Drosophila melanogaster: one gene and its partners. The protein of the gene in region 3 binds, or shares a complex with, the protein of the main gene of each other region. Each region holds a gene or a part of one and is shown on either strand. Other genes may lie near its edges.

Evidence for each region. The genes of interacting proteins can lie anywhere in the genome.
Region 1: MED4 (region 3) and MED26 share a complex: the UniProt entries of both Drosophila melanogaster proteins name them as parts of the mediator complex.
Region 2: MED4 (region 3) and MED9 share a complex: the UniProt entries of both Drosophila melanogaster proteins name them as parts of the mediator complex.

What each region holds. Positions count from the first base shown.
Region 1 is NC_004353.4:785,834-790,843, forward strand, and holds the start of MED26 (mediator complex subunit 26), read right to left. Parts: upstream 3,146-5,010; 5' UTR 3,062-3,145; intron 1,782-3,061; exon of another isoform or gene 1,619-1,781; intron 1,377-1,618; 5' UTR 1,314-1,376; coding exon 1,248-1,313; intron 1,194-1,247; coding exon 359-1,193; intron 1-358. UniProt on the Drosophila melanogaster protein: Component of the Mediator complex, a coactivator involved in the regulated transcription of nearly all RNA polymerase II-dependent genes.
Region 2 is NT_033778.4:18,165,582-18,169,025, forward strand, and holds MED9 (mediator complex subunit 9), read left to right. Parts: upstream 1-1,673; 5' UTR 1,674-1,735; coding exon 1,736-1,941; intron 1,942-2,076; coding exon 2,077-2,140; intron 2,141-2,191; coding exon 2,192-2,356; 3' UTR 2,357-2,384; coding exon of another isoform or gene 2,385-2,557; intron 2,558-2,626; coding exon of another isoform or gene 2,627-2,711; 3' UTR 2,712-2,799; downstream 2,800-3,444. Other genes in the region: Nup75 (nucleoporin 75kD), read right to left, coding at 1-182, 244-1,406, 1,464-1,490; CG42518 (uncharacterized protein), read left to right, coding at 2,385-2,557, 2,627-2,711; Dgp-1, read right to left, coding at 3,444-3,444. UniProt on the Drosophila melanogaster protein: Component of the Mediator complex, a coactivator involved in the regulated transcription of nearly all RNA polymerase II-dependent genes.
Region 3 is NT_037436.4:7,248,947-7,252,396, reverse strand, and holds MED4 (mediator complex subunit 4), read left to right. Parts: upstream 1-1,869; 5' UTR 1,870-1,952; coding exon 1,953-2,189; intron 2,190-2,247; coding exon 2,248-2,787; 3' UTR 2,788-2,868; downstream 2,869-3,450. Other genes in the region: CG14830 (uncharacterized protein), read left to right, coding at 199-221, 289-717, 779-1,298. UniProt on the Drosophila melanogaster protein: Component of the Mediator complex, a coactivator involved in the regulated transcription of nearly all RNA polymerase II-dependent genes.

The DNA of each region.
Region 1 (5,010 bases), on a different chromosome or scaffold from region 3:
AAACGTTTTTTATTGATAATATTTAGTTTTAAGAGATGGTCAAACGCTCTATTCTCTGAATAGACCGAGATTAACTTGAATGTCTTATATTTTCTAAAGTATACGTTTTTTCAAAATTCAAAAGTGTTGGCAAACGATGTTATTGCAATTTAAAATATAAAATTTTTGAAAAAGTACACTTTTTGATTATCGAACTTTTTTGAAAATTCAGATCTCAAAGACTGGACGTGGACAAAAAAAAACTAATTGGTGGGCACACGATTCCAGCTTTCAAATTTCGAAAATTCCATTTTTCCGAACCCAGCTTCTTTGAGCTTCTGCAAGGATAGACACAAAGACAAATACAATTGAATCATACCCGAATCTGTTGTCAGAGCGGCCTGTTGAAACCCGTCGCTGGCTTTTGCACCAAATCTTGTATTTGTTGCGACCTGTCCTTCTCTTTCCTTACTTCTTTTTTCCTTTTTTAATTTGCGTTGCCGTGAGCTTGGTGTAGATGGTATTGGAAGTGGCGCAGGAACAATTGAGTTTAATTTTTTTGGATTTAACGAACCGTTATTGTCATTCTCATCGGAATCCGAAGCTATGTCAATAACAACTGAAGCTTCGTTTATCTTCACGGTGCTGTCATCGGTCAAGTTAATCACGGAATTTACCGAATGATCTATGACGATGGGCTGAGGAGAGGCCACGTGGCAACTTCGGATGGAATGCGAATGTCGCCGATCCTTGTGAGTATGCAATGTCGTTATAGCGATGTTTTCGTGGCGATCGCTATCTTTTATACTATTTACAAGGTTGGAGAAGTTCGGATGAAGTAGGGTATGTTCACCCGAAAGCGGAGGCTCCGCAGAGTCGATATTTGAATGCAAATCTGAAACTATTTGCTGCGAAGGAGCAATTGGTTCTGTAATAAAGCTGGTGATAGGGGACTTAACCAAATCTAATGCTGGTTGTGAAGATGAAATTTGACTGGGATGTGCCAAATTTTCAGTGGCTGTTTGCTGAATTCCTACCATTTCCCGCCACTTTTTCAGCAAGGATTTTGCACGTCGAGCCAAATGTTCATTCTTAGTCCTTCTTCTGAGCTGATTTATGTACTTAGCCAATCTGGTGGCCTCCAACTGCTCCTTGGTGATAGTTGTACCCTCCAATGCACATATGACACAGAGAACTGCGTCCATATTGACGACCTGAAAAGATCTTTACATTAACTGATTTGTTGATAAGGTAATACGTTTTCTTACATCGTAGTTTTGATCAAGTGCCTGGGATAGGTGAGTAGTAAGTTCCTGTATTTCGATTTGGTTCATTTATATCTTGCGGTGCGTAAATATTGCCCTGATCCAGATTCAAGGGACGGCGAAATGCAAATACTGTCCAAGTTAGAAAAATAAGGAAAGTAATAGAAAAGTAAGTAGTAGGTAGAAAGTAAAAAGTTATAGTGTATTCACTTCACGTTGTTGCAAAATAAATACTATTATAAATAGCCGTAAAATTGCTATTAAGTAAAGTTTAAAGACCCAGAAGTTCAAAAATTTTAATACCCGAGTTAGTAGCGTGTCTGTGAAACACTCATACCAATACAAAACGTGTATTGCTCAATCGTTATGCTTACAAATATGCACACTTCGAATGTAAAGTCTGTGCTTCCTGAGCGCACTTCCTTGAATATGAAAATTTGTATTTGTCCAAAATAAGGAAAATTAATAATTTATGGTTGACTTCCCGACTTTATTACAATTCGCCATTTTTACCAATGACAGCTGCACTTCAAGGGTGGCAGAAAATCGATAAGTATTTAACAATTATTATCGATATACTTTCACGTGAATTTCTTTTAACAGGAAGGCCTGATCATACTGCTATCAAACAGAATTGAAGAGGAATTGTATTATATGTGACATGAAAACCTATAGGAGTATTATATAAAGTAAACGTCCATTTTTGGGCTAAATGCGTGAATCTCAAAATGAAAAAAGGGTCAAATATACCAGACCAGAAAATGAAGGTTTTGTTGCTTTGTGGTTTGGATATTTTCCCGTTGTCCTATATATTTTGTAAAATATAAAACGATTTCGTAGATTCTCCGTCCAGTTACCCGCTTTACTTAATATGGAGAATATTAAAATATTGTTTGTTTTTTTACCCTTAACTTATTTTATTCGGACTAGCAATGCCGTTTTTTTTTTGTTAAGGATATATAAAGATTCTTAAACTCTTTCATTTCAATGCGAAATATTTGAAAAAAGTGTGTATATATAGGATTTGTACAAAACAAATGCTCTCGGTGTTCTTCAAAAACAAAAAACAAACAAATGGCTTACAATTACCAAACCCCATAACTTGGGTTAAGGGATCATCTCACAATTGAAAAAAAGTAAACTATAGTACTATCCTTCAGCACCAAAATCGAGTATATATTTTTTTCTTATTGCAAAACCTTTGGAAGCCTTTTGTATATAAGAATATATTTTACATTTAATAAGCAACAGAAAAAGAATATGTTTAATTTTTTATATTCACATTTTACCACAGCGGCTTTTTTTTTAATATGTTCTATAATATTATTCTTATTCTGAACCTCGAGCAGAAGAGATTTTATTGACCTTCCCGTCTAAGAACTGAGCTACCCCATGCTTATACTGTGTTTCCGTGTTTGACAAAAACCAAAACTGACTGTGTCCATATATATAGTGTAATTGGAATATAAACGGTTAGTAGTACTAAATTAGGAAGAATGCTTGTCCGATCCGTTCACACTGGTAACGTTAGAATACCGGAGAAAAACTATTATTACTTAAAATGCTAATTAAGTTTAAAAAACATTTTTGTATTTCAGTACAATAATAAAAAATTTAATCATCTCCGCTAGTGAGCAAAATTCAAATATAACGACAGTGACTCTTCTGCATATAAACTTGAGATTTGCAAAAATATAGATGCATCAACTTCATAAATTCACACTTGGCTGGTTTGTCGCTCTTACCGAAATATCCTGATATATTCCTTTTGCACATACATAAATATACTTATATTATATGTCGTTTTTAATACATACCCCCACATTAATCACACTGCACATGGTCTATTCAAAGCCATATAAATAACAAGATGCGTAACGGCCATACCAAAGACACTAGAATAACAAGATGCGTAACGGCCATACATTGGTTTGGCACTATGCAGCCACTTTTTTGGTGACGGCCAAAATTGCTCTCTTTCCGCTCGCTCACGCTGAGAACATAAGAAATCTAAAAATAGAATTTGCTTGCTTGTGTGAGTAAAAACAAGAGACGGGAACGCGTATATGTGTGGGTGTTGTGCTAGAAGACGATTTTCGGGCCGAAATCAATTCTGATCAAAGAAATGAATTTACATTGTACATATTAGGGTAGTTTTTTGCCAATTTCGTAGCAATATGATGAAATAAAATAATTTTTAAAAATTCGCGCCCTTCTTATTATAATTTTAAAATTTTAATTTTAATTTTAAAATTTTTTAATTTTAAAGCTTTTTAAATTCGTTTGTTAAAATCGCCGCTCGAATTAGCTACCGTTTACATATTTATATTTATGTTGATAATTATTTATGTGTAATATGTGTAATAGTCGGTACCCAGGGAACACTACGGGGAGGCCATTACAATTGTAATGGGGTCTTATATTTACGTATATGACCTTCGAGTCGACTTGAAATATTTTAATGTTTAACATTAAAACATTTCCATATTCCCCAATTAAGTTATTTTTCTAACTATTGTTTTTTATTATATATTGCTCGATTTTTCAGTCGTCAGTTATTTAAATAACGCTCATTTTTTTTATTCATGAGATAGAATGCTGAGCTTAGCTTGCTTTTTTTGTCTATCAGCTATCACAGTCCACTTACAATGCTTAAAAAGCAAAACTTTTATAAGTTTGTTTAAAAGATCTGTTCTATGTGCATAACATTCATTATTTTCATAAAACCATAATGGGAAGGCACTACTTTCATTTGTGCACTTAATGCATTGCTCAACAATAAATTTTTTTATACACATTTGTTTTTTATTATTTTTAAAAATATTTTCGAAAGCTTTAATGTGTATTTTGTAAATATTAAAAAATAAATCAGATGGTGCCCTTAATTTCCCGAAGTCCGATTCTATTGAGTAGTTTTTCTCATGTATAAAAAGCTCTGATGGAGCTGTTAAATGCTCGGTTTCTTTTAAAATTACCGATCTGCATTTATCGCAACTGGATCCCTTAGCAATATATCCAACAAAATATCTACTGGAAGTTAATTCAATGGGTACATCATTGCACAAAAAGTTATCTATATTTTGGTCAAAGTACCTCTCATTGTCTTGCACGATTTTGGAAAATGATACAGAGTATTCTTGTTGCTGTATTTCTTTTTTTTCAACGAAAGGCTGATATATTATCGAATCGAACTCTATTGGCAACATAACATCATCATCTGATTCGCAATTCGACTTTTGTGAAAATTTAAAAATGTGTAGAGATATGAGCTTGGCAATTATTATATTAAATTCGTTAACTGAAGGATTTCTGCAGTTACCACCTTTTGCTCGAACGCACGCAAATATATTTTCAAGGGGATCCTGGTTAACTCTACTAGTTAAAAAGAAAAAGTGGTCTGTGTGATCCTTAAAGAGATCTTCGACGAGTCCAAATATAGCTTCAGTAGTTTGGATCAAGCCATCAACACAATATATTTTATTCCCGTGATATTTAACGCTCTTTAGGTATTCCTGCATTTCCTTTAGTTTGTTCCAAACTCCATTGTTAACTTGGAGCGCGCATTTCATGGGGTTTTTGTCAGTTAATACTCTGCTATTCAGGCAATCAAAGTAATCATTATCTTTTTGGACAAATGCAGCCGTAGAAGCTGCAACTTCGGAACTATTTCGATGTAATTGCTTGTTTTGGTTACAAGTCTTAATTGCCGCTGCAACAGTGTGGCTAAGTGTTTGAGTTGCCAAACATACGCGCATTAGCTCAAATC
Region 2 (3,444 bases), on a different chromosome or scaffold from region 3:
TAAGCTTGGTGGCTTGCCGCTCGCTGCGCAAAGTGATTCGGGGCAAAAGCAGCTCGATAGCCGCCTGACCCTCCTGCTTGCAACAGTCCAGATAGTCGATGCCCAGTTGCCACATATTGTGGGACGTCATCAGATAGCTGCCGTACTCATAGATCATTGAGTGACGCAGGGCCGGAAGATCGCTGTGGGTGCATAAAATATATAGCATATTGATTGAACATAACTTCTGACAAAAAAACTCACATGTTGTTCTGATCGAAATAGCTCTTCAGCTGACCACAATGATGGATAAGATCAATCAAATGCGTTGAGAACCAGTGTGTGTCGTTAAGTTTTTGAGCATCGTATATAAATAGTCTAAGATCGTGATCCATAAGCTGAGAAACCATGCGGTTCATGCTGCACTGCTCTCTTTCCGGCCGGAGAAGACACCATCGGTTTAGCCATTTGGCTGCCGCTATTTTCAGCTCAAAGGGTTTGCAGGTGGGCTTGGTAAAGAGCAGGTATCCTGGCAGGTATTCATAGAAATCCTGGGACTCTTTGATGCCAGCATCCCACTGCTCGCTGTCGCCGGCGACCAGACGAATCAACTGCTCCAGCTCCGGCTCCGTGGCAAATAAGCCGGACTGAATCTTGCGTTCCGTATCCACGTGCCAGAACTCCCACTGCGAGTGAAACTTCTGCAGGGCATAGCCCTCTTGATACACTGGCATGGACTTCAGGATCTGTTCGGCCGCCTTGAAGCTCGTTTGTCCAGCTTTGCGATTCTGCGAGAGAACTGCTCTCGTAACATCTATTTCGCCCAGCATAATGAGTGATTTGACAATGCTCCAATAGTCATCAGATTCGCTGGCCTCCTCTCCCATGAGCAGTAGATCCGTGGCTCTGTCCTCTGCGTGCGGCGAGTGGAAACGCGCCCAGTCGAGCAGCTGCGGCACCACCAGCTGATTGCTCTGAATGTACAGAATCTCGAAGAGATGCCACAGGCATTCTGCCGCATAGAACACAACGATGGCATCACATAAGCGTTGCAGGCGCGCCTCATCTGTCTGAACCTCCGGCGATTTTTTTGCCTGCTCCAGCTTCTCCAGGCATGAGCGCACAATGCTCCTGTATGCCCGGGATATATTCACATACTCGGCACGTGTGGCCCGCGAACCCAACTGTTGCAGCGTGGCGAACGTGGCATTCGCCTCGGCGAGTACGCTGCGGAGAACGGGTTCGTCGAACAGCGTCGACTCCTGCGCCATGTAGATGAGCACCGGAACCTGTCCAGCATTCTCTGTGGGCTCATCCCGCGAACTGTGCGTCACATGCCGGTAGGCGCTGAGTGCGATTCGTGAGCCCGGCACAAAGACGCCAGTGAGTGTATTGCCACAGCGTGTGGCTAGGTCATCGCCAAGCTCCTAGATAGATTAAACGAGGTTTAATCTATTGAGTTTTTTATTTGTGCAGCTACTTACGAAGGCGAAAACACCGCTGTCGCTCATGTTGGCTTTATGTTTTTCTTCTTTATAAATTCTAAACGATTCGTTGCTTGTTATCGATAAGCAGAGGCGGCATTTGCCTGGCTCTATCGGTCTATCGTACTTCGATAGCAGGTTGTGCATCTACTACTTTTCCCTTTAGTATATTAATCGAATTAAGAGAATGTGAGGGCATTACTTTGGTATTATTACGTGTTGTCGGTAAGGTCCTATTGATTCTGACGCTGGAAATTCGATTCGTGTTTTTTATGATGGATTTGTCGCCAAACAATCAGATCGAGGACAGAAAACCCATCCTAACCGCCGACGGCCTGGTTCAGACTTCGAACTCCCCCTTCGAGCCGACCATATCGCAGGAGACGCAAACATCCAACGGAATCGGCGGCCAGTGCCATCTGACGGTTGACCAGTTGGACATTGAGATTCTGCCGATAATCTACGACATTGTGCGCTGGTGAGTGGTCATCGCGGATGCGGATTCCGGGTGTCATTGCCCCTGCACGGACAATGCCGAAAATCGGCGGATTTTAGCAACAAGTGCGCAATTAATGCCGCACCTTATATAACCTGGCGTCTTTGTGTCTTTCAGCGTGGAAAAGGATCCTCTGGAGAACGCCGTTAAGCTGCGCGAGTCCCAGGATTGCAACCACAAGGTGAGTCCTTGGTTCGTCATAAGTTGCCACCGCTATATACTTGATTTGTAGATCTTTGAACTTCAAAAACGCTTCGAATCGGCACGCGAGCAAATCCGCCAGCTCCCCGGGATCGATTTCAATAAGGAGGAGCAGCAACAGAGACTGGAACTACTGCGAAATCAGCTGAAGCTTAAGCAGCAGCTAATTCGCAAATACAAGGACACAGAGTTCTAGGCGGCAGCAAAATAAAAAAAAGGGCAAGATGGTGCTGCGACTGCTAATGCGCTACCTGGCCAACAACGAGCAGCTCATCCAGCGCATGGCGGAGAGCTATCCCATGAGACGCGCTGCCCAGTTGGTCGTTTCCCTGATGTACCGCACAAAAGACTTGGCCCGGGAGCAGGGACTGCACGAGATGACGCCAGAGCGTTTCAAGTGAGTGAAAGAATCGCCAGAATCATCTGGCTGAATCCGCCAATCTGACATGCATTTTCCAAATTGTAGATCCTTCGTTAACATGTTTAAGAACAACGTGCGCCAAGAGCTGGAGGGAGTGAAGAAGGAGCTTAATAGCAAGAAAAAGAACTAGGGTTCAGTAATTAACTTGTTTAACTACAATTGTATATACGCGGCAAGATAAATTTTAGTAAACACAGATGAATAAACATTGAAGCCAGAACATTATCTTCGGTGAATGAACCTTATTTTTGTAGAATAGGAAATTGCTTTTATTAAGGTAATTAGGAAACAAAGAAATCCTTATTCATTGCCATTTTATCTTAACACTTAAAAACAAAAGAGAACTTCAGATTGTCATTCTGAAACTATCGTTTTACAAAAAAATCAAATAATAACCTAATGTCTGCATTTACAACGCTTTCAACGTAATTTGCGTCAGCAAATTTGTTTTCATTTTCAGTTTGCATAGACATTAAACTCATCTTAAACTATAAGATTTTAATTTAAGATTCCAATTTATAAAGTCGTGTCTATTTAAGTTTATCGAGAGATAATTTAATATCATGTACACAAGTAGCATCTGGTTCAACCTGCGTTTATTCAGTGAAAAGACAAATGAAATCCATGCTGCAGTGACGTCGGTTGTCTTAAGTCTAGTGAACAAACAAAATATAGAATTTGGTTTGGCATATAGCACAATGTACAGTGGACAAGAACGGGACACGAAATAGTTTATTGGGGCACATGCCACTTTAGATTAGAAGGTCGCAAAATAAATTCATCCAATTATCTTTAAGAATTTGAAAAAAAAATACTTTAGTTTACAAAACTAGAAAGAGCCAAAACATGCAGGCGGCGCACTT
Region 3 (3,450 bases):
AATTAAAAGTTCTAAGCTAGTCGATAAAGTGAAGCCAAAACCTAATTGCCATGAAGTCGAGCTCATCGTGTGTTTGTTTTGCTTTACTTACCCATTGCAGGCACCTCGAGGAATTGCTAGACGGGTCCATTAGCAGTCAATCAGCCGCAGAGAAGAGCCAGCAAAAGATACAGATACAGGCGGAGCAAAAGATACAGGATGCACGAGAGACAAGTGAAGAAGTGAGTAGCGCGGATGGGCCACTTAACGGCTAATACAGCGGCGATAACATTTGCGATCCAATTACAGGTTGAAGGGCAGCCATTATGTGGCCACGCACGGTCGCCTCACTCCGGATCCGCCCTACGTCCACTCGAACCGCGGCTATTCCACCGACGGCGATGAGACCCACTCCCACCGGGCGCCCTCGGAGCGCACCTATTCGGAGTACACGTTGACCCACGAGCGCATCTCGCCGCAGTACAATGGTTCGCGCAAGAAGCGCTCCTCATCCTCGAATGGAAACCATCAGCATCAGCACCTGCAGAGCAGCTACAGCCACAGTCAGATGGGCCTCTCCAGTTCGCCGGACAACGGAGGACCTCGCTCCCTCAGCGGACCGCCGCCCACGCGCCAGCCACCGCGTGCTCCGTCCGCCCTGAGCTATGACCAGGCTGGTGACGCCGGCAGCGACATCTATGTGACCAGTGCCGCCTACAAGGCGCCCTCCGAGATCAGGTGCGTTGTTACAACTATATAGCATATAACCCATATCTAAACTATCTATCATCCATTACAGTCGCTACAGTCAGCGTCCAGTGTCGCGAGGAGCTCCACGGAGTGTTTACTCCGTGGCCAGTACGGCCAAAACCGGACGCAGTGCGCGCTCGACGACTCGGCGAGGCGCCAAAGTGGAAACCATGTCCGCGCCGAATCCATTTTGCCCCAATGTCAAGGGCGTGTGCTGTCTGATGCTGTTGCTCAACTTGGGCCTGATCCTGGTGACGCTAGGATTCGTCATTGTGGTGCAGTTCTATGAGCCACTGTACGTGTGGATACTGGGAATTGTGTTCCTGGTCTTCGGCTTCCTCACGCTAATCGGCTGCATGATCTACTGTGTGTACGTGTTCCGGGATGCGAAGACGCCATCGCAGGTGCGCAACGAGGATCTCTACTGGACGCGGCACTGGCAGAAGAATATCGGATACACGCCGCAGGAGATCAACTACAAGGCGGACAAGTACGATGCCTACTCGGATCGCTATTCGGTTAGCAAGCTGAGTGGCAAATACTCGGATCGCGAGAGCCAGCGATACTGATTGTTATGCATATGTACATATGTATGTATGTACATACATATGCGGTTTGATGAAAGGGGATCCTTTGGGCGGAGAAGAAATATGAATAGCCACATATAAACCACTTATATCTTAACTAATTGTAAGACTATCTACTAGTTCTAAACGGTTATTAACAAGGCCCCTCCAACGTACCTGCTGCAAGTTGCTTGCTGGTTTGTATGTTTTAAGAGTGAAACTGACGGGAGACGCGAACGCGAGGATGCAACAGAGTATTGTAATCTGCCATATTTGAGAAGGTTTGTTAGGTTTGATTTGGCTAATCAACAGAAGAGTTTTATGCTAAAATTGTAACTGCAATTGTAACACACGAGAAATAAACAAGCAAATAATACCTACTAGAGATAACGCTGCGAATTTGTTTTATTTTTGAACAGTCTCTTCTACTCTTTGCTTTTGAGTACTTGATTCCCTTTTTTTTGAGTGTATGAAATAACCCATGTGGCAACTCCTATTAGTCTGGCAACCTCTCTGTTACGGTATTTTTACAACGTGGTATTAACAGCGCTCCGGAATACTATACGGTATATTTCAGCAATCGAAGAACGGCCACATTGCGGTGTGGAAAATAAACAAATTGCAATTATTGCTTAGCACAAACGATTTGCCGTGATAATGTCGTTTCATTTGAGCACAAAAGAGCGCCTTCTGCTCCTGATCGACGACATTGAGATGATTGCCAAGGAGTTGATCGAGCAGGCGCACCAGAAGATCTCCAGCACCGAATTGGTGGACCTGTTGGATTTGCTGGTGGCCAAAGATGAGGAATTTCGCAAAATGCTGGAACTGGCGGAGGAGCAGGCGAAAGTGGAGGAGGCGATGGACCAACTGCGCGCTAAGGTCGAGGTGCACGTAAGTAGAAGTTTTGCATTCCCCAAAAATAAGGTATAATCTGGATTTTCCCGCTTAGGACCGTGAGATCCAGAAGCTGCAAAAGTCGCTAAAGGATGCGGAGCTCATACTGTCCACGGCCATCTTCCAAGCGCGACAGAAACTGGCCAGCATCAATCAGGCCAACAAACGACCGGTTTCATCCGAGGAGCTCATCAAATACGCACATCGGATTAGCTCCGCCAATGCGGTCAGTGCTCCGCTCACCTGGTGCATAGGTGACCTGCGGCGTCCCTATCCCACGGACATTGAGATGCGCAACGGGCTGCTGGGTAAATCCGAGCAGAACATCAACGGCGGAACAGTGACCCACCAGAACAGCGGCATGCCCTCGGAGCAGCAGCGAACGCTGTCCGGTAGCGCAGGAAGTGGGAGTGGCAGTGGCGCCGGCGGCGAGGTGCCCAATGCCTTCCAGAACCAGTTTAACTGGAATCTCGGAGAGCTGCACATGACCATGGGCGCCTCTGGGAACACAGTGGCCCTGGAGACGCGCGCCCAGGACGATGTGGAGGTCATGTCCACGGATAGCTCAAGCTCCAGTTCCAGCGATTCGCAGTAGAATTGGATAAAAAACTATAACTAAATCTCGTTTAAGCTAGTAGTATTAGGTATTTAATAAAAGCGCGCTGTAAGGAAGTCTAGTTATGTATATATTTGAGTAGCTGGGATACATATCTAATTTTATGACCTTCTTTAATGATATTAATTTACAATTTAAATTGGCATTTAAAAAAATGCAAAGTTATGTATCAGTGGAAACAGCTTATAATAGCTTCGTGTCAAGAGCTTGGTACTTTTGCGCTAGTGCGATACGGTCCTCCTCAACCATATAAACAATCGATTGGCAGGGTCGCGTGCAATCGATACTTTGACAGCTCGCAATTATTTTAGCTTTGGTTTTTCAAATAAAATGGAATGCAACGCGTATGCAGCGTGTTTCAAGTAGCTAAAATGTGGCCAAGGTGTAGTCCAGTGTCGCCGCCAATCGCAGATCAGCCCCGTGTGCGTCTTTAACGAGAGATAAGCCCCGAAAACGATAGTAGAAAACCGACCCCCCGTTCGCAGTGTGTGTGTACAGAGGGCGAAGCGAAGCGAAGGCTCGACTCAAACCAATTGCAATATCAAATATAAAGAAAAAGTGGAAGTGGAAGGTGGAGTGGAGTGGAGGCCAGGGAGCGAGAGACACCGCCATCGCCACTTGCATCGCCGCATCCGCAATCGG